Linked DNA regions of Lonchura striata. The main gene of each other region encodes a partner of the protein of the gene in region 3 in a complex. Links are inferred from orthologs where the notes say so. Each region holds a gene or a part of one and is shown on either strand. Other genes may lie near its edges. The genes, in order: SSRP1, MCM2 and SUPT16H.

The links.
Region 1: SUPT16H (region 3) and SSRP1 share a complex: the UniProt entries of both Homo sapiens proteins name them as parts of the FACT complex. The link is inferred for Lonchura striata from reciprocal best matches to the Homo sapiens genes SUPT16H and SSRP1.
Region 2: the proteins of SUPT16H (region 3) and MCM2 are in contact, whole or in part, in a crystal structure (PDB 8YJF), measured with the Homo sapiens proteins. The link is inferred for Lonchura striata from reciprocal best matches to the Homo sapiens genes SUPT16H and MCM2. Residues at the interface, in NP_009123.1 of Homo sapiens: Gln898, Ser899, Leu900, Asn901, Lys904; in NP_004517.2 of Homo sapiens: Ile73, Gly74, Asp75, Met77, Tyr81.

What each region holds. Positions count from the first base shown.
Region 1 is NC_134608.1:53,181,373-53,188,274, reverse strand, and holds the start of SSRP1 (FACT complex subunit SSRP1), read left to right. Parts: upstream 1-3,836; 5' UTR 3,837-3,922; intron 3,923-4,389; 5' UTR 4,390-4,492; coding exon 4,493-4,546; intron 4,547-4,754; coding exon 4,755-4,940; intron 4,941-5,116; coding exon 5,117-5,222; intron 5,223-5,690; coding exon 5,691-5,881; intron 5,882-5,948; coding exon 5,949-6,179; intron 6,180-6,267; coding exon 6,268-6,371; intron 6,372-6,479; coding exon 6,480-6,608; intron 6,609-6,767; coding exon 6,768-6,902. Other genes in the region: P2RX3 (P2X purinoceptor 3), read right to left, coding at 40-170, 748-889, 1,087-1,164, 1,244-1,337, 1,597-1,663, 1,735-1,806, 1,905-2,040, 2,856-2,995. UniProt on the Homo sapiens protein: Component of the FACT complex, a general chromatin factor that acts to reorganize nucleosomes. The FACT complex is involved in multiple processes that require DNA as a template such as mRNA elongation, DNA replication and DNA repair.
Region 2 is NC_134614.1:13,489,397-13,496,441, forward strand, and holds the start of MCM2 (DNA replication licensing factor MCM2), read right to left. Parts: upstream 3,068-7,045; 5' UTR 3,019-3,067; coding exon 3,013-3,018; intron 2,546-3,012; coding exon 2,358-2,545; intron 1,819-2,357; coding exon 1,643-1,818; intron 1,023-1,642; coding exon 759-1,022; intron 1-758. UniProt on the Homo sapiens protein: Acts as a component of the MCM2-7 complex (MCM complex) which is the replicative helicase essential for 'once per cell cycle' DNA replication initiation and elongation in eukaryotic cells.
Region 3 is NC_134641.1:1,210,441-1,217,742, forward strand, and holds the start of SUPT16H (FACT complex subunit SPT16), read right to left. Parts: upstream 3,095-7,302; 5' UTR 3,045-3,094; coding exon 2,979-3,044; intron 1,412-2,978; coding exon 1,319-1,411; intron 1-1,318. Other genes in the region: chromodomain-helicase-DNA-binding protein 8, read right to left, coding at 6,928-7,119. UniProt on the Homo sapiens protein: Component of the FACT complex, a general chromatin factor that acts to reorganize nucleosomes. The FACT complex is involved in multiple processes that require DNA as a template such as mRNA elongation, DNA replication and DNA repair.

The DNA.
Region 1 (6,902 bases), on a different chromosome or scaffold from region 3:
CCAGGCAGTGCACATGCCTGTGCCGTGTCCTGGCCATACCTGAAGTTGTATCCAGGGGCAGGGGTCCGGGCCAGGCTGTCCAGGCGGGTGAAGGAGTAGTGGGGCAGGCAGCGCTCCCAGGCCCGGTCCAGGTCACACACCCACCCGATCTTGATTCCCAGCACCCCCCCCTGCCCCAGCCCCACATCAGCACCACGGACCCTGGCCCCGCGGCACCAAGTCCCCACAGTTTCACAGTTCTGCATCCCATGGCCCTATGCTCCATGTCCTATGAGCCCACATCCCGCATTCTCGTCTCCCCAAACTCCACATCCCCCTGCACCTCATGTCTCAAATCTCCATGTCTGTACACCCCATGTCCCAGTGTCACACATCCCAACCCCCATCCATGTTCCTGTGTCAAAGCCCCACATCATCACTCAGTGTCCCGTTTTCCCGTATCCCTATGTCCTGTTCCCAACATCCCTCATCCCTGCATCCCATGTCCCCATGTTATGCGAGCCCATGTCCCCATCTTCCATGTCCACATCCATCACCCCATATTCCCCCCATCCTATGTCCCCATGTCCCACATCCCATGTGGGATGTGTCCCCAAGTCCCATGTCCTCAAGTCCCACATCCCATGTCTCTGTGTCCCCAGCCCCCATATCCCTATGCCCTTATATCCCAGCTGCTTGTACCCCTATGTCCCCACACACACCCCATTCCCACCCCGTGCCTCCCATGTCCCCTGTGTCCCCGCTCACGGTGGCAGCCAGCGCAGGGAAGTCCTGCCCAGCCAGACGTGCCACGTCCCCCAGGCGCAGGATGGGGCACAGGGGCTGCAGCTGTGGGTGGAAGCGACACCGGCCCAGCTCCACCCCACTGCCAGGGGGTGGCAGGTTGGTCCTGGGGACACAGGGGGACACAGGGGACACGCAGGGATGTGCCATCAGGCAGCAGTCTGGGGTTCATGGACCCACATCCCAATGTCCCCCCACCATCTTGTGCCTGTGTCCTCATGTCCCCTGTCCCCATGTCCCTGTGTTACCCCATCCCTTGTCCTCATGTCCTGCCGTGTTCCCCCTGTGTCTTGTGCCACTCACTTCTCAAAGCCAAAGAGCGGGAAGCGGACGCTGTTCTTGATGAGGAGGGTGAAGTTCTCAGCTTCCAGCATGACGGGGCTAGAGGAGGGGGGTGATGCTGAAGACAGGCAGGGGCCATGTCCCCTGCTCCTCCCCGTGTCCCCCCAGCCCCACTTACACATCAACGGTGTCCACCTCGGGCGGGCACCAGCCCTGGATCTCGCAGGTGCGCAGGGTCGTGTTGTAGGGGACGCAGCGCCCTGTCAGCACCCCTGGGACCCCCGGACTGCTGTCAGCACCTCTGCCAGCACCCCCGAGATCCCAGACCCCCATCAGCACCCCTGGGACCCCCAGACTGCTGTCAGCACCCCTGGGACCCCCGGACCCCCATTGGCACTCCTGGGACCCTGAACCCCCGGCTTCCCGGGCCCCCCTCAGCCCCTTGAGCCCACCGAGGGTCCCTCACTCCTGGTGGTGGCTCCCCCCGGTCCCTCGGCCCCCTCAGCCCCCGTTCCCACCGGGGTCCCTCACCGTTGCTCGTGGCCGGGCTCAGCTCCCGGCAGTCCCGGTCCGCCGAGCAGTGGAACGCGGCTTCGCTCTGCGGGGCGGGGGTCAGCGGACAGGGGGCTCATCGAGGGGTCCCCCCGAGCGCCCCCTGCCCCTCCGCACCTCCGGGCACACGCCCTGCGCCTGGTCCTCGGTCCGGATCTGCTTGGTGACCACCACGAACACCGAGGTGCCCTGCGGGACGTCGCTGTCACACGACCCGCCCGGGGGTGGGGAACTGAGGCGGGGGTGGCCCCGCGCCCCTCAGCGACCCCTCCGGTCCCCGTCCTCACCTGGGGGGGTGTGACATAGTCGGCTGTGTCCATCACCTGCCCCGCGTAGCGACCCACGCCCTTCACCTTGGTGACCACGGAGGACTCGATGGCGGTGTCCCGCACCTGGTACGCTTTCTCATGGAGGAACACCCAGCTGGGACAGCACCGCGGGTGACGCTGGGGACAGCCATCCCCGGACACCACCGGCACCCCCCGGGCCCCGCCGGCCTCCCCCGGCACCCCCCGGACCTGCCCGTGACCCCCGGCCCCCGGAGCTGTCAGCGCCAGCGGCTGCCGATCCCCGACAGATTCTTGTCATCCCCTCGCCAGTGGCTGCTGTCACTCCTCGGGAGCATCCAGGGACAGGGACCCCAACGCGGGTCATCCCCTTCTGTCATCCCCTGGGGCCGAGCGGCTTCTCTGCCGCTCGGTGTCACCCACACTGTCCCTTTCCCGTCATCCACCCGAGATGCTGTCCCCCTTGTGTCACCCGTAACGACACCTTGCTGTCCCCATCATGTCACCTGCGCTGCCACCCTCCCGTCACCCGCACCGGCACGCTCTCTGGCTGTCCCCCTTCTGTCACCCGCACCGATATCCTCTGTCCCGCCTTGTCAGCCGGTACACTCCCCTGGCTGTCCCCATCGTGTCACCCGCTCCGGCACACCTGAATTCCCGGCACTGACACTTTGTCACCCGCTCTCCCGTCCGTCCCCTGCTCCATCACCCCCTGGCCACCCCGTCACCCCGCGCCGCCGGCCGGTGTCCCCTCGCTGTGACCCCGCTGCCACACGCCGCCATCCCCCATCACCCTTGTCACCCCCGGTGTCACCTGCAGCAGCAAGTGGCAGTCACGGCGCTGCCGCGGTGCCGGGAAGGGGGCTCGGGGTTGTGTCCCGGGGGACGTGCCGGGGCGGGGTGTCCCAGGGGTGCCCGCCGGTTGTCCCGGCGGCTGCCAGGGGGGCTCACCCGATGAAGTAGGCGAGGATGAGGAGCTGGACGCCGCGGTTGACGACGCCCACCACCCAGCTCTTCACCACCACCGACTTGGTGGTCTCGTAGGAGAAGAAGTTGCTCACCCAGCGGGTGCTGGACCGCGGGAGGGACATGGGCAGCGCGGGGGGCGGCCGGAGACGGGGTTACGGGCAGGGCAAGGCAGGGCTGCGGGCAGGGCAAGGCAGGCAGGGCTGCGGGAACCCAGTGGGATGCGGGAAGGGCAGGGCAGGGGTGCGGGCAGTGAGGGGGATGCGGGCAGGGCAGGGCGCGCTTGGGTGCAGGCAGGGGTACCGGCAGGGGCACGGGCAGGGTGCGGGTATCGGCAGGGTGTAGGCAGCACCCGCAGGGGTGCGGGTAGCGAGGGCGGTGCGGGCGGGCGGAGGCGGGGGTAGGGCGGGGGCCGGGGGCGGGGGCACGGCCCGGGGGGACGGGAGGGGTCGCTCCCCCGTTCCTGGAGGGATGGAGGGGCGCAGGCGGGGACATTCCCCGGGGTGCCTGTGATGGGGAGCGCCAAAGGGGGGACACATTCCGGCAGCGGGGAGCCCCACATTGGGGTGCACGTGGGTGGTGCGCCCCAAACTGGGAACGCCTGGTTTGGGGGGGACACCCCTGCAGAGGGGAGTGCGAGGGGGCGGCCCGTGCGCGGGTTCCGGGGGTGCCCCGCTCTGGGCCGCCCCATTGTCCGGTTCCGACACTTTGGGGCGCCCCGGCTTTGGGGCGGGGGGGTTGTCCCCACATGAGGTGACGTCACGGGGCTCGCCCCGTGCTGGCCAATGGGGTCTCTCCCCACGCCTGGTTCTGGGCGGGGCAAAGCGGCGAGGGGCGGGGTCTCGGACGCGGTGACCACGCCCCCTAGGTGGGCGGGGCCGCCCGCGGCGCGGCGGGGAGCGCCGCACGGGTCCGCCCCGCCGCCAGGGGGCGCCAGCGCGGCCCGGCGCCATGGCGGAAACCCGCGCGACTTCCGGCGTTGGCGGCCCCGCGCGGTTCGCGCTGCGCAGGCGGGAAAAGCGGCGGCGGCGGCGGCGGCGCGGGGGGGCCGGGTGGGTGTACCGGGGCTCGGGGCCGGCCGGATCCCGCGGGGGGCCGGGTGGGTGTACCGGGGCTCGGGGCCGGCTGGGGCACCCGGAGTCATGGCAGGCCGGCTGGGATGGGGGAGCGGCCTGGGGTGGAAGTGGGCTGGGGGTCGCTGGGGAGGCCCGGGAACGCCTGGGAGCCCCGGCTCGGCAGGAGTTTGTGGGTGCGGGGGTGGTTTGGGGTGGCCTCATCAGGGAGGGGAAGGGCAGGGGTGATGACACAGCGGTGGCCGAGGGCTGCAGGAAGGGGCGGCTTTGGGACCACGGCACAGCCGGGGAAGGGGCGAGTTGTGCCGGGGGTCGCCCCCGTCAGTGAGCCAGGTGCCACCACGAGAGGCAGCCTGCGGGGCTGAGGCGGTGAGGTTTGGTTTTGGGGGCGCTGGGGAGGGCCGGGAGCCTGTCGCCAGCCCGGCTCACCCCCTGTCCTCCCGCAGCTGCCGTGACTGACTCCTCTGCCGTTGCCCCGGGCATGCCGGGCTCGGGGGGCTGCTGAACCCCCCGACTCATCCCCGTCCCCTCCCATAGCCCGCAGCCGCCATGGCTGATACGCTGGAGTTCAACGAGATCTACCAGGAGGTGAAGGGCTCCATGGTAAGCGAGAGAACATGGGGATGGCCCTAGGGGCACTTCCAGCGTTGGGTGTGGATGGGGGAAGTGAATGCTCTGTGATGAGGAGGGTGTGGGAGATGAAATTGTGGCTGGTTGGTGGTGTGGGTGCCTGGAGGGGCGCACCCAACAGGGCCATGGTTCCTCTATGCTTCCATGGGACTGAGTCCCCTCATGCCCAGCTCTCCCACAGAATGATGGGCGGCTGCGGCTGAGCCGGCAGGGCGTCATCTTCAAGAACAGCAAGACAGGGAAGGTGGACAACATCCAGGCCTCAGAGCTGGCTGAGGGTGTGTGGCGGCGCGTGGCACTGGGCCACGGCCTCAAGCTGCTCACCAAGAACGGCCACGTCTACAAGTATGACGGGTTCCGGGAGTCGGTGAGTCCCTGTTCCCTGCTCCTGCTGCCCTGGCCCTGTTCCAGATCCAGTTGTGCTCCCTGCCAGCCCCAGAACAGCCCTGCCCCCTGCATCCCCATGGCCAGGGGCTGTGTGTCACCTGGGGCACTGGGCACTGCTGGTTCCTGACGGTGTTGCCTCCCTCTTGCCCAACCCAGGAATTTGACAAGCTGTCAGATTTCTTCAAGGCCCACTATTGCCTGGAGCTCGCAGAGAAGGATCTGTGTGTGAAGGGCTGGAACTGGGGCACAGTGAGGTTTGGAGGTGAGTTCCAGTGGCACCCCAAAGGCGTGGGGTGGGATGTTCCCACCAGTGTGTGGCTGTTCTGCTGCCACATCCATTCCCTTAGGAGCAGCTGCTTTCTAGGGATGTCCTCAGGGAAAGTGAGGACATTTGCCATCTCAGGAGAGCCCTGAATACCAGGGGGCCATGCTTGGTGTGGAATCTGCACATGTGTGCCGTTCACCAGGGAGCCAGGGGAGCTGGCGGATGTGCCTCCAGCTAAGGGACCGGGACAGATGGGGTCAGACAGTTCCTTTTTTTGTGTTTCTGATCGGTGCCAATTTCCAGGGATGCTGCTGGAAGGGAGAAAGCCTGGAGCTTTTGGAGGGTGGGAATGCAGTGATGAGAACAGAGGCACTGCTGGATTTTGGGAGAGGAGCGAGGCCGTGGCTGGAGATGGGATTTGTGGGGCACAGCTCTGGGCTGGCTGTGATGTCCCTGTCCCCACAGGGCAGCTGCTGTCCTTCGACATCGGGGAGCAGCCGGTGTTCGAGATCCCGCTCAGCAACGTGTCCCAGTGCACCACAGGCAAGAACGAGGTGACGCTGGAGTTCCACCAGAACGATGACGCCGAGGTCTCACTCATGGAGGTCCGGTTCTACGTGCCCCCCACCCAGGAGGATGGTGTGGACCCCGTGGAGGTACGTGGGGCCGGCAGGAGGGTGGGGGTTGGCAGCGAGGGACCCTTTGTGACCGCTTCCCTGGCAGGCCTTCGCCCAGAACGTGCTGTCCAAGGCGGACGTGATCCAGGCCACCGGAGACGCCATCTGCATCTTCCGGGAGCTGCAGTGTCTGACGCCGCGCGGGCGCTACGACATCCGCATCTACCCCACCTTCCTGCACCTGCACGGCAAGACCTTCGACTACAAGATCCCCTACACCACCGTGCTGCGCCTCTTCCTGCTCCCGCACAAGGACCAGCGCCAGATGTTCTTCGTGGTGAGTGGGAATGGCTCAGCCCTCCCCCAGAAGGGCATTGGGGGTGGTTTGGGGGGTTTCGTGTCTTCACCTCCTCTTCTCTTTCCAGATCAGCCTGGACCCCCCGATAAAGCAAGGCCAGACCCGCTACCACTTCCTGATCCTGCTCTTCTCCAAGGATGAGGACATCTCCCTGACCCTCAACATGAATGAGTGAGCTGCCTGATGCCACACTGCTTCCCAGACCCCTTGCTGGATCCTGAGGGAGCTACTTACACCCCAGACCCTGTTCTCACCTCTGCCCTCCTTCCCGCCTCACAGGGAGGAGGTGGAGAAGCGCTTTGAGGGGCGGCTCACCAAGAACATGTCCGGGTCCCTCTACGAGATGGTCAGCCGGGTGATGAAGGCACTGGTGAACCGCAAGATCACCGTGCCCGGAAACTTCCAGGGGTGAGCAGCTGCAGGGCTAGTCCCTCTCTTTCCACCTCGTCCTCATGGCCTGAGGGAAGGGGCTGTCTGTGTGATTTGTGCTGGGGAGCAGGGCCAGTCTGCCAGGGCTGGGCACGGGGAGGATGTTTGTCCCCATGGATAGAAGCGTTTGTCCTGCAGACACTCCGGAGCCCAGTGCATCACCTGCTCCTACAAGGCCAGCTCAGGGCTGTTGTACCCGCTGGAGAGGGGCTTCATCTACGTGCACAAGCCCCCCGTGCACATCCGCTTCGACGAGATCTCCTTCGTCAACTT
Region 2 (7,045 bases), on a different chromosome or scaffold from region 3:
CTGCTCCCGAAATTCAAAAGCCTCAGCCCAATACACAACTCTCTCAGAGACCTCCAGGAAACAGAAGTTAATAGGAGAGACATTATGTATGCTGAATGGTTGGCAAAAAACCTCCTGTGTCTTATGTTTGTGGAAATGGATGAGACAAATGCCTTTTATTTCCTAGCTTTACAAAATTGATCCTGTTCCACTGCTCAAGCTTCTGTTCAATATAAAGAAGAAATACAACAAGTACAGCTACATGAGCTGTTCCTAGATGTGACAAATTCTGCTTTTAAAACTCATCAATGACAGCCTTAATGACCGTTTCTTCTGGCAGTGCCTAGTCAGAATACAAGGCTGCAACACTGACACAGTTTCCAAAGTCACAAGGTCTATTTGTGTCCCCTTGCTGGATAATGCAGTTTCCAGTGTGAGAAAGTAACTGATGCAGACAGCAAGCAATTGTTGTCTCTTTCAGATCACAAACTTGCAGACCACTGTCTGCTGCCCCGCATATTCTTCTGCTAGCATTTCTACGAAATGAATATTAATGAGGAGCAGATGCCAGGGGACTTCTAATTAGTCAGCCAGAATCAAAGAAGACAGTAGACATGTTTCCATTATTCATTTATCTCCATCAGCATCAAGCTTTCTTGAAATGCTGATTCAATGTCTGGAACAAAGAGAGCAGCAAAATATCCACCTCTGTACTGGATCACCACAAAGTACCATGACCCACATAAAGAAAGAGAGAGCCTCCAATGACCCAGCCCTACCTTTGCACATGTCACTGATCCTCTCCTTGAAGACATTGTGCCCATGGTCGTCCACGTGGGTCTTCAGGAAGTTCTTGAAGCGGTGATAGATCTCAAGCCGGGGCGCTGCCATGGAAACCCACTCCCTCACTGAGTGCCCTTTCATGTCCTCCAGGTTCTCAATGCTCTCAATCATGTCCTCATCCTCCTCTTCCACGCCTTCGGCAGCACGCTCCGCCAGCCGCCTCTTCCGTGCAGGACGGTCTTCATCCTCATCATCACTGTCTAAGGGGTGAGAGGAAAAACTGCTCAAGAGCTGGGATTCCCATTCCCACTCTATGGATTAGTCACAGTGGGACTGTATAGGCTGTGGAAGTGAAGAGGTCACAGCCTCACAAACCAAGAGACATTCCAGGTCCAGCCTAAATCCAGTTCTAGACTTGCTCCTACATCTTCCACAAGATAGCCAAGACTTTAAGGGTGTGAATTTGAAGATTTGTATGCAACAGCACACATTCAAGTCTATTAATGCACTGACCAAGGAATGAGTTTGAAAGTGCATCGAAGACACTTCCATCAGCCCACAGAAGTCTGTACAGGAGCATCAACACCAACAAACTCTACCGCACAGCTTGGTAGAATCCCAACCCTTTGACACAGGCCCAAGATCCTAAATTTGTTTCAGCAGTGACCAGAAGGACACCAAATGAGCTCCTAGGAAACCCAAAGGAAAGGGATCCTGCACTGGAGAACCCAGGCAAGCCCACAGCCAGTGATTTCATTAAGAGCCCAGGCACACTGGAGCTCTAGAGACCTCCCTACTAACCTGAGAGTAGAGAGCCCAGCTCCCTCTGAGGGCCAGGTTACTATCAGGCACACAGGAAGGTACAGCTCCCTGCACCTACCGTAGAGCAGCCCTCTCCTCATGCGGCCCATGCCCTGCCCCAGCTCTCGGTCCCGCTGCCTCATCACTCGCTCGGCAGCTTCCCGCTGGCTGGCAGTCAGCTCCTCCACATCTTCATCGTCCAGGGCCAGGCCCTCTGCTTCGTACACATCCAGCTCTGGGATGGGGCGATAGTCCCTAGCACACACACACACAGAGCAGGGAATCAGGCCAGGAAAGCAATTCTGCAGCCCTTCTCCAGCTACTCCTGGGCAGGTGTCAGGACAGCTGTTCTGCAGCATGACAGAACGCTGCTGAGCAGGAAGGCACTTCCCAGTGGAAGATGCCCTGCAGTAAACGGGCTCCAGCACCATGCTTAGGAATGTCAGCATCCAAGCCTTTGGTAAAGTTCAGCTTGCCGGCAGACCTTGCTGAGTAAAACATCAAAATTCACACCTGCAGAAGCAAAGAGCTGGGCTGAATGCACATCACACATCCAGGCAGATCCTGGTTTACCCACCCGGGACCATGATGGCACTTTGCTCAGTTCTCACAGAACTCAAGTGACATTATACTCTTACCTTTCTCCATTGCCCAGCAGCTCTTCAGCACCCTCCCCACAGCTGCCAGCACAGCAGAGGATCCCACAAGGCCTGAGATCTCCCTCCAGGTCGCTGGCTGCACTGCCATCCCCAGCACCCCATCACCGGACACAACCCTCCGAACGATTTTCTTACCTTTCCATCCCTTCCCCAATGAGCTCTTCTCCTTCTTCCTCCTCCTCGGGGAGCCCCTCGGTCCCCAGGAGCCCTTCGGACTCATCCTCGAAGGGGGGCAGGTCCCGACCGGGGCTGGACGTGAAGGCATCGCCGCGGCGGGAGCTGCGCACGGGGCTGGTCACCGCTGCCTGCGACTCGGAGGAGTCCTGCAAGGACGGCAGGGAGGTGAGGGCAGGGGGCCGCAGGAGAGAGCGGGGCTAGTGCCTCCAGGGGCCTCTGCCATATGGATCACCGTGAGTTATAATAATTAGCCCTCCTCGCAATATGGAAACATATTTGTGTGTGGGGGGGAGAGATGGGGGTAAATCCATCCTCGCAGCGCAGCCGGACTGGAGTGAAAGGGTCCGACCCTGCCCCGCCCCGGCTCTCTCCTCTGCGGCGCCGGGCATGCAGGAAAATTCCCTCGGCGTTTCGGGAGAACCGCCAGGCGCGCCCCCACTGTGCCCCCCCACTCAAAATCCTCTCTGGACCCCGCACAGCCGCAGCGCCAAGTGTCCGGCAGCGGGGAGAACCCGAGCCCCGCACCGCGGGGCTGCACCCCAAATGAACGGCTCCCCTCCCCTAGCCTAGCCTAGCCTAGCCCAGCTCGGCCCGGCCCGGCACGGCCACTCACCGCCATGGCCGCCGCTTCCCGCGCCGCCGATTCCGCGCGAAAACCAAACCACGTGGTCCCGAAAGCGCGCGAAACCTCATGAATAATGGATACAGGGGCGGGCCTGATTGTGAATATGCATGAGCGGGGGCGGGACCCAGCGCCACCCCCCGCCACCCACAGCGACCAAGGGGGCTCGGGCGGCACTGGCAAACTTTGGCAAACATTTCCCTCTGGGCTTGAGGGATCTCCTCCTCCCGCGAACCCGAGTGACGGGAGAGATCCCGCCGTGAATTCCCGTGCTCACGGCTGCCTCTTTGGGAGCTAAAATCAAGCCTTGCTGGACAGGGTTTGCCACTGACCCGTTCAATCATCTTTGTTCTGATTCTCGCTGGAACTACAAGACGTGGGAAGGAGGTTCTGGCATTTTGTGGTTTTGGGGGGGTGGGTTTGTTTATCTGTTTGGTTTTTAATTTTTTTTTTTTTTTTTTTTTTTAATGCAAGCCTCTATGTGCTGGAAGTAACAGGGCAGACACATCTGTCTCTCCAGCTGTTCAGTGCAGCAAGCAAATGCCATTAATGAGAGGAACTGAAGAAGAGCACCCGTCCCATAGAGATTGGCAGAGGAATTTAGAGAGACAAGCAACAGGCTGATGTTTAGCAAGGAGATGGAATGCTTCCTTCCAGGCCACAGGGTCTTGCGTGACAGCAGGTGGTTTGGATTTTGGAGATCTGCATTCTCTGAAGGGTCTCTGACCACTGTTTAGTATCAAGCTATTTCTGCTCTTGGCTGGACTCGGGTGTGAGACAATGACCCTGAAACAGGAGACACCAGAAGCAAAAGTGACTGAAGAGGCAGCTGACAATCTGAAATGGATCTTCCAGGAGCCCAGCTGGATGATTCAGGCTGGTACTAATATAGCAAAGCAGGAGCATCATGATATAAATAGGAGAGTGGCTCAGCCTCTTCTCTGTGACACATGACAGGGATCTGGCTGGTGCTTGGAGCGAAACAAACACAGAGACACCCCCAGGATGCCCCCACTTGTAGGTTTCCAGAGACCACCGTGGGCTTGATGATCTTAGAGGTCACAAAATCACAGAACCATGAAGGTTGGAAAAGATCCTCAAGGTCATGGAGTCCAGCTGTTAATCCAGCCCTGCCAAGTCCACCACTAAAACATGTCTCTAAACATCACATCTCCATGGTTTTGGAACACTTCCAGGGACAGCGAATCCACCACCTCATTGGGAAGCCTATTCAATGCTTGAGCACCATTCCAATGAAGAATTCTTTCCTAATGTCCAGTCTTCCAACCCAAATGATTCTATGGCTTAAGGGAAGGTAGCCCGAGACCTGGCTGAGGTGGAGCTGTCTGACAAGGCCCAGATGACACACTGTGATGAGCCAGTGTCACCACAGGGTGCCACTGTCTCTCCAGGCACCAGACAGCTGGATAGACAGACAGATTTTCTGTCTGTCCTTCCTGGAAGAACACACACCACGTCCATGTTTTCACGGCTAACTTTGGGTGCCACCTACAAGTGGTCCTATTCTTGAGCTGGGGTGCTCTGTCTCTTTGACAAGAGCTGAGCTTGGGCAGCAGAAACCACCCCTAAAATCAGGTTGCTGCCATGTATGGAACAGGGCTCCTTCTACTACACTAGAGACATGGACTGGGTATGTGAAAGGGCTGAGATGCAGATGGGGCCCAGGCTGCTCACTGGGGTGACCTCACCTGAGTACCAAACTCTTGAATATCCAAACATACCACTAGGATTTTGCAGACTCGTGGCTTCTTGCAGCACAGGAATAGCCCTAGTGAATGAATTCCCCTTGAAAGAAAAGGGGCAGAAACACAGGAGTGCAGTCCAGGTAGTATCCTGTGGTGCAAATTTATGCCCAACACTAGAAATCAGTAGGCTGGTAGAACAGCTCTGAAACAAGACAGGCACATCTGTCCCTGTACAGCACCTGTACAGCACAGCAGTTTCAGATGAGAAGTAATATCCTGTTCAGTAGTCTGATCTAATAAAAGCTGAAAGAGTATTTGAGAGAGATAAAATGTCTCAGAAGAGTGGAATTTGTTGACTACATGGACTGTAATGCTGTCCTGGACACCATGTCTGCATCTTCTACCTCTGATGCCTGCAAGGCAGGTGAGACTGCCACAGCACAGCAGGCTGCAGCAGGTACAGCAACAGGTGCCAGCTTTCTGTGGGGCCCCCAGGGTTGTTTCAAGGCTGCTGAACATCACCTCTTGTCCTGCTTCAGCCCAGCAGCACCAGGTGGCACAGCGAGGACAAAGGAGTGACCCCTGCTGTCTTTAAGCACTGGATGGAGGAGATGATGCACAGAGCAGCAGTGCTCAGCTGGAATGGAAGGAAGGATGCATAGAGTTAAGGACATGGAGCAGTCCTTGGAGGGGGGAAGAGGGGAGTTATGTTTGCCACACCATGTGGTGGCTGACAGGCAAGGCTGGGTAATTCAGAGGAACAGTAAGTGTGGATGCCCCACCTCCTGTTTGACAGAAGCAAGGTGAGGAAGGCAGGAGCTAAAGTGTCATGGTCCTTGCAGTGGCACCCAGCAGTCTCCTGACCATGAAACAGCTTTTGGATCTGGTGTCCCAAATACTGGGCTCTAGCCTCAGATGGAATCAGATGGGAAAAGCAGGTGGATTGGAAAGCAAAATCTCTCCTTCTGACACAGTTATGTGGGAGGTAACACATTCAACTAGTTAGTGCCTGAGGCTACAAGTGAGAAGACATGGATTTTACTTGTCTGTTACCAAGACACTTTTTAGGCAGAAACACTCCACCTCTCTCTAAACAGAATTGTCCTTTCTGTAACTCAGAGATCTTGGTGTCAGCTTGGATCCATAAATGGAACGTGTCAAAATATTGCAACATATCATTAACCTGAACGACAGTGTGAAATGAGACAAGCTAAGGACTGGCTTCTCCAGATGTCATTCCAAAGGCATGACACCAGCATGAAAACCTGTTCCAACCCAGTGGAAAATCAGAAGAACAGGGCTGAGGCAGGCAAGTCCCCAGGTACAAACCCTTCATGAGGCTTGCTGAGGAGCAGCTGGAAAATTTGACCTAAGAAGAGGATCAAGCAGATTTAAGCTGAGGAAGATCTATCTGTGTGTGAGGAGGGCCTGGAACCCTCTGGTTACGGTGTTTGCTAGAGCAGAACATGCAAACTTCACCAAGGTAGGGCTCTTGTAAAGAGTTGTAGGCTCTGAACAGAAACTTCAGGGTAGCAAAAGCCTTGCATTCCTACAGAAGCAAACCCTACAGCCACAGGTAGAAACTCATGCCAGAATGAGTTTCAGAACTCCAGTCCTTGCAGTGACTCGGATAAGAAACATCCTCCTTGAAACTTCCCTGTCCGCCAGCTCTTACTGCTGAGAATAACGTGCCGGTGCTTAGCTGGTTATTTCCTTTAATTTCCTAAATAAATCTTGGCTGTTTTGCCACAGTTACTTCCTTGTTTACGATACTGAGCGTCTCTTTAGCCTGTCTGGCATTTGCACCTCAAAATCCTGCTAATTATCGATGGCGTTTCCCTTTAGCAGCTGTTGTCCAAGCTACTTCAAGTTTCTTCAGCCAGCTTTGAACTCTCCTTAAAAGCCGAACTCACAGGTTGTTAATCATCCCTCCCTGCAGGAACTTATTATCGGATCTCCCTCAATGATTAACCGCCCTGCCCTGCATCCAGCGGCCGTACGGAATTCCCGCGGAGCAGTGTGAGTTTAGGAGCGTGGCGGTGGGAGCAGGGCGGCAGAGCGCTCCTCGTCGGGTGGGATGCTGGGCTGTGCGGGCCGAGCCGGGCTGGGATCGGGCTGGAAGGACAGAGCCGAACCGAGCCGGGCCGGGGCTGGGATCGGGCTGGAAGGACAGAACCTGCCCTGCACGGGCCGAGCCGAGACCGCCGGCCCCAGGGTCGCCTCCCTGCCCGCCGCCACCGCTCCACGCCGGGCTGGTGACCCGCGGGTGTGTGCGGGACAAGGCGCCTTTAAAGCGCGGCGGACCCGCCCCCTTAGTC
Region 3 (7,302 bases):
CCCCAAAAATCTCCAAAATACACCAAAAATCATGAGGGAGACCCCAATAAACGGCTGGGAAACACCAAAAACTGACCAAGGAAACCCAAAAAGAGACAAAGAAACCCCAAAAGAGACCAAAAAAACCCAAAAAGAAGAAAAGAAACCCCAAAATGGACCAGGAAAACCCCAAAAGGAACAAAAAAACCTCAAAATGGATCAAGGACACCCCAAAATGGACAAAAAAAACCAAAAAGGGACAAAGAAACCCAAAAATGGATCATGAAAACCCCAAAAAGGAACAAAAAACCCAAAATGGAACCAAGAAACCCCAAAAAGGAACAAAAAAACCCAAAAAGGAACAAAAAAAAACCAAAAAGGAACAAAAAACCCCAAAAAGGAACCAAGAAACCCCAAAATTAACAAAAATCCCCAAAATTTATGAGGAAAACCCCGAAAGGAACCAGACAAAAATGATGGGAAAGTCCCCAAAAGCAGGAGAGAAACCCCAAAAATGGGGGAATTTACCCCAAAATGGGGAAATTTGCCCCAAAATGGGGGATTTACCCCAAAAATAGGAAATCTAGCTAAAACTGAGAGAATTCAGCCAAAAATGGGGAAATTTATCCTAAAATGGGGGAATTTACCCCAAAAATGGGGGATTTACCCCAAAATGGGGGGGATTTATCCCAAAAATGGAGGATTTTACCCCAAAAATGGGGGATTTACTCCAAAAATGGGGGATTTATCCCAAAATTGGGGGATTTATCCCAAAATTGGGGGGATTTACCTCAAAAATGGGGGATTTACTTTAAAATTGGGAGATTTACCCAAAAAATGGGGGATTTATCCCAAAAAATGAGAAAATTCATCCAAAATTGAGAAAATTTTCCCAAAAATGAAGGGATGCCCCTAAAAATGATAAAATTCAGCCCAAACTGGGAGAATTTGCCCAAAAATGAGAAAATGTACCCAAAAATGAAACCAAAAGGGATTTTGGGGGTTTTCTCAGGAATTTCGGGGTTTTCCTCATGATTTTGGTTTTTTTCCCAGAATTTCGGGATTTTTCACACAGATTTTGGGGTTTTCCTCACGATTTTGTTTTTTTCCCCAAGATTTCAGGATTTTTAAATTTTTCACCAACATTTTTGGAGTTTTCCTCACGAACTTCAAGTTTTTCCTCATGATTTTGTTTTTTTCCCAGGATTTTGGGATTTTACACTGAGATTTTTGGGGTTTTTCTCAGGAATTTCGGGCTTTTCCTCAGGATTTGGGTTTTTTTCCCAGAATTCAGGATTTTCCCCCCAGATTTTAGTTTATTTTCTGTTTTTTTGCCCACCTGCAGCGCCGTGGACTTGGCGTAGACGATCTCCTCGTCCACGCCCACGGCCACCACGATGGCGTCGACGCCGCCGAACTCATCCTCGCCTTTCTGTGGGGCAGGAGACCCAAAATCAGCCAAATTCACCCCAAAATCACCCCTGCAGCAGCCCCAAATTCACCCCAAAATATCCCTGCAACAACCCCGAATTTACCCCAAATTTACCCCAAAATTTCCCCAACACTGACACCGCCAAACTCATCTTTGCCTTTCTGGGGGCAGGCGACCCAAAATCACCCAAATTCACCCCAAAAATTCCCAATTGGCACCCCCAAATTCACCCAAAAAATTCCCCTGAAGCAGCCCCAAATTCACCCCAAAAATTCCTCTGCAGAAACCCCAAATTTACCCCAAAATATCCTCCATCAGCAACCCCAAATTCACCCAATTTCACCCCAAAAAATCCCCTGCAGGAACCCTGAATCCACCCAAAAAAATCCCCTACAGGAGCTCCAAATTCACCCAATTTCACCCCAAAAAATCCCCTACACCAGCCCCAAATTCACCCCCAAAAATCCCCTGCAGCAGCCCCAAATTCCACAAAATTCACCCCAAATTCACTCCAAACCCTCAACATTCCCTCAGCCCCCCCAGATTTCCCTAAACCCCCCAAATTTACCTCAAATGCCCCAAATTCACCCCAAATCCCCCGAATTCACCTCAACCCCTCCAAATTCACCCCAAAACCCCCAAATTCACCTCAAACTGCCAAAAATTTAAACCAAATTCACCCCAAAACCCCCAAACCCCCTCAGGCCCCCCAAATTTACCCCAAACCTACAAAATCCCCCTCAAATTTACCTCAAACTCCCTAAATTTACCCCAAACCCCCCAAATTCACCCCAAACCCCCTAAATTCCCCTCAAACCCCCCAAATCCCACAAATTCATCCCAAATCCCCCTCAAGCCCCCCAAATTTACCCCAAACCACCCAAATCCCCCAAATTTACCCCAAACCCCCCAAATTTACCCCAAACCCCCCAAGTTTCCCTCAAACCCCCTCAAATCTCCCAAATTTCCCTCAAATCCCCCAAATTTCCCTCAACCCCCCCTCAAACCCCCCAAATTTACCCCAAACCCCCCAAATCCACCCCAAATCCCCCTCAAATCCCCCAAATTTCCCTCAAATCCCCCAAATTTCCCTCAAATCCCCCAAATTCCCCTCAAACCCCCTGAAATCCCCCAAATTCCCCTCAAATCCCCCTCAAAGCCCCCAAATTCACCTCAAATCCCCCAAATTTCCCTCAACCCCCCCAAATTTACCCCAAACCCCCCAAATCCCCCTGAAATCCCCCAAGTTTCCCTCAACCCCCCCTCAAACTCCCCAAATTTACCCCCAAACCCCCTCAAACGCCCCAAATTTACCCCAAACCCCCCAAATCCACCCCAAATCCCCCCCAAACCCCCCAAGTTCCCCCCAAACCCCCTCAAACCGCCCAAATCCCCCTGAAATCCCCCAAGTTCCCCTCAAACCCCCCAAATTTCTCTCAAAGCCCCTGAAATCCCCCAAGTTCCCCTCAAACCCCCCCAAATTCCCCTCAAACCGCCCAAATCCCCCTGAAATCCCCCAAGTTCCCCCCAACCCCCCCCCAGCCCCCTCCCCCCGCCCCTCCCCCACCTGCCAGCTGGCGTAGAGCCGCCGCAGCCGCCGCGCGAAGGCCTCGCGGTCCAGGCTCAGCGCCATCAGCGGCCCGGCCGCGGCCCCGCCGGAGCCGGGCGGGGAACCGCCGGGGCGGGGCGGGACCTTCCTCCGCTCGGCCGCCTCCTCCTCCTCCTCCTCCTCCTCCTCCTCCTCCGCCGCCGCCGCTGCCGCTGCCGCCCGTGCCGCGCCGCGGCGCCCGCCGGAAGCGCCGCCTGAGGCGACTTCCGCTTCCGGTGCGCGCGCGAAGGGCGGGAGGCGGAGGAGGAGACGGTGAGGGAGGGGAAAAGAGCGGCCGGGGAGGGGAAAGGGGGAGTTTGGATGAGAAAAAGGAGGAGGAAAATGGGGGGAAAGGGGAAAAAACACACAAAAAAACAAACAAAAAAACAAACAAATGCGGGTGAAATCGGTGAGGGGGGGGAAAAGGAACGGGGGGTCACGTGACGGCGGAGAGGCGGGAAAAGGGGAGCGCGGGGCGCCGGCGTCACGTGACCGCCCCCCCCTCGCGCCTGCGGAGGGGAAAAGGCGGGAAAAGGGGCGGGGCCAGAGGGGTCACGTGATGGGGAGGGAGAAATGGAGGAGGAGAAATGGAGGAGAGGGAGAGAAATGGAGAGGGAGAGAAATGGAGAGGGAGAGAAATGGGGAGGGAGAGAGAGATGGGGAGGGAGAGAGAGATGGGGAGGGAGAGAGAGATGGGGAGGGAGAGGAGCGGAAAGGAAATGGGGAGAGGGAGATGGAGACAGAAATGGAGAGGGAGAGGAAAGGGAGGGAGAAATGGAGAGGGAGAGAGGGAGATGGAGGAGGAGAGAGTGAGGGAGAGAAATGGAGAGGGAGATGGGGAGGGAGATGGAGGGGAAAGGAAATGAGGGAGATGGAGACAGAGAGAAATGGAGAGGGAGAGAGGGAGATGGAGGAGGAGAGAGTGAGGGAGAGAAATGGAGAGGGAGATGGGGAGGGAGATGGAGGGGAAAGGAAATGAGGGAGATGGAGACAGAGAGAGAAATGGAGAGGGAGAGGAAATGGAGAGGGAGGGAGGGGAGGGGAAAGGAAATGGAGAGAGGGAGATGGAGAGGGAGGAGGAGAGAGGGAGAGGGAGATGGAGAGAGGAAAATGGAGGGGGAGATGGAGGAGGAGGGAGATGGAGAGGGAGAGAAAGGAGGGAAATGGAGATGGGAAGAGGGAGATGGAGACAGGGAGAGATGGAAATGGGAGATGGAGGAGGAGGAGAGGGAGAGAAATGGAGAGGGAGATGGAGAAGGAAATAGGGAGAGGGAGGGAGATGGAGGGGGAGAGGACAGAGAGCACCAAAACGAGGCAAAAATACAGAAAAAACAGAAAAAAATACCCAAAGGAAAAAAAGAAAAAAAAAAACCCAAAAAAGAAACAAAAGAAAAACAAAAAACACCAAATAAAAAATAACCAAACAAAATGGAAGAAAAAAGCCCGAGAAAAGTTTTTAAGAAACCCCAAGGAAGTAAAAAAAATGAAAAAAAAAAAAAACTATGAAAATTTAAAAGGATGAGAAAAAATGTAAAAAGCCTTAAGAAATGTGGAAAGATGAGAAAAAACAAAAAGGCCTGAAAAAAATTAACAAAAAACACCCCCCAAAAAAAACCCCAGCAAACAAAAAAAACACCTTTAAAAAAACCCAAAATAACAAAAACAAAAAAAGGAAAAAAAGCAAAACCCCTCCAAAAAATTAAAAAAGAAAACAAAAAAAAAAAACCACCAAAAAATTCTTTAAAAACTCCGAAAAACACCAAAAAATACCCACAAAAAAAAATTTAAAAAACCCCCAAAAAACGTAAAAAACTGAAAAAACGCCAAAAAAAAAGAAAAAAAAACCCTCTAAAAAAATTTACAAAAAAACCCAAAAAAACCCCAGCAAACAAACAAAAAAAACCTTGAACCCCCTCTCCAAAAAAAAACCTCACAAAAAACTGGGACAAAAAAAACCAACAAAAAAAACTCTGAAAAATTTTATAAAAAACCCCAAAACCCCCAAAAAACCCAAAAAAATAAACCGGAAAAAAAAAACTAAAAACCAAAGCAAGAAAAAAACAAAGCAGGAAAATCCTGAGGGGGAGACGTGAGAGCGGGGATCGTTAATTACCAATTAATTCATTAATTAATTGGGGTGGCTATCGGGGGGCGGGACAAACGAAGGGAGGCCAGGGAGGAGATTAATTAATGAGGAGGTTAATGAGAAGGGTAATGAGGAGCTTAATTAATGAGGAGGTTAATGAGAAGGGTAATGAGGAGGTTAATAAGGAGGTTAATTAATGAGGAGGTTAATAAAGAGGTTAATTAATGAGGAGGGTAATGAGGAGGTTAAAGAATGAGGAGGTTAATTAGGGGGGTAATGAGGAGGGTAATTAATGAGGAGGTTAATTAATGAGGAGAGTAATAAGGAGGGAAATGAGGAAGTTAATGAAGTTAATTAATGATGAGGGTAATTAGGAGGTTAATGGGGAGATTAATGAGAAACGTAATGAGGTTAATGAGGAGGTTAATTAATGAGGGTAATGAGGAGGTTAATTAGGAGGTTAATTAATGAGGAGGGTAATGAGGAGGTTCATTAACGAGGAGGGTAATGAGTCGGTTCATTAATGAGGAGGGTAATGAGGAGGTTAATTAATGAGGAGGGTAATGAGATAGTTAATTAAGAGGTTAATTAACGAGGAGGGTAATGAGAAGGGTAATGAGGTGGTTAATGAGGAGGGTAATTAACAAGGAGGGTAATGAGGAGGTGAATTAACGAGGAGGTTAATTAACAAGGAGGGTAATGAGGAGGTGAATTAACGAGGAGGTTAATTAACAAGGAGGGTAGTGAGGAGGTGAATTAATGAAGAGGTTAATGAGGAGGGTAATTAATGAGGAGGGTAATTAACGAGGGTAATGAGGAGGGTAATTAATGAGGGTAATTAACAAGGAGGGTAATGAGGAGGTTAATGAGGTTAATTAATGACGAGGTTAATGAGGAGGGTAATTAATGAGGGTAATTAACAAGGAGGGTAATGAGGAGGTGAATTAACGAGGAGGTGAATTAATGAAGAGGTTAATGAGGAGGGTAATTAATGAGGAGGTTAATTAACGAGGAGGTTAATGAGGAGGGTAATTAACGAGGAGGGTAATTAACGAGGAGGGTAATGAGGAGGGTAATTAATGAGGAGGGTAATTAACAAGGAGGGTAATGAGGAGGTGAATTAACGAGGAGGTGAATTAATGAAGAGGTTAATGAGGAGGGTAATTAACGAGGAGGGTAATTAACGAGGAGGGTAATGAGGAGGTGAATTAATGAAGAGGTTAATGAGGAGGGTAATTAATGAGGAGGGTAATTAACGAGGAGGGTAATGAGGAGGGTAATTAATGAGGAGGGTAATTAACGAGGAGGGTAATGAGGAGGTTAATGAGGTTAATTAATGACGAGGTTAATGAGGAGGGTAATTAATGAGGAGGGTAATTAACAAGGAGGGTAATGAGGAGGTGAATTAACGAGGAGGGTAATTAACGAGGAGGTTAATGAGGAGGGTAATTAACGAGGAGGGTAATTAACGAGGAGGGTAATGAGGAGGGTAATTAATGAGGAGGGTAATTAGGAGGGTAATTAACGAGGAGAGTAATTAACAAGGAGGGTAATGAGGAGGGTAATTAACGAGGAGGTTAATTAACAAGGAGGGTAATGAGGAGGGTAATTAACGAGGAGGCTAATTAACAAGGAGGTTAATAAGGAGGCTCATTAATGACGAGGTTACCGCCGCCGTTACCTAACGAGCAGTCCAGCTAATTACCGTTTAATTAGGCACCAGAGCACGCCCCGCTGCGTTTCCAACCTTTTATTAAAAAACAACCCCCGAAGCCCCGCCCCCGGCCCCGCCCCACGACACAGACACTTTACATATTTATAAATATTCATCAGGGGGCGGGGCTACTCCGAGTCCGAGGCGGGCGCCAGCATGGGGTCGGCCAGCAGGGGGCAGCAAGCACTTCCGGTCTGCCCCGCCGCCTCTTCCGGCGCCGGCCGGAAGTGAGGGGGCGTGGCCAGCGCCGCCGGGGCCACGCCCCCCATGAGCGCCGCCATCTTGGAGAGGTCCAGGGCTGGGGGCGGGGCGGGCAGGCACTGGGGGGAAAGTAATTAGAGCCGGGAGTTAATGAGCTGGCCGTGGAAAATAGTTCAGTTCCTAATTAGGATGGGTCATTAGTGAATTGGAAATTGAAAAATGTTAAATTGGGAGTTAAAATGGGTAATTAGGGAATTGGAAATTGAAAATAGATAAATTCCTAATTAGGATGGGTAATTAGT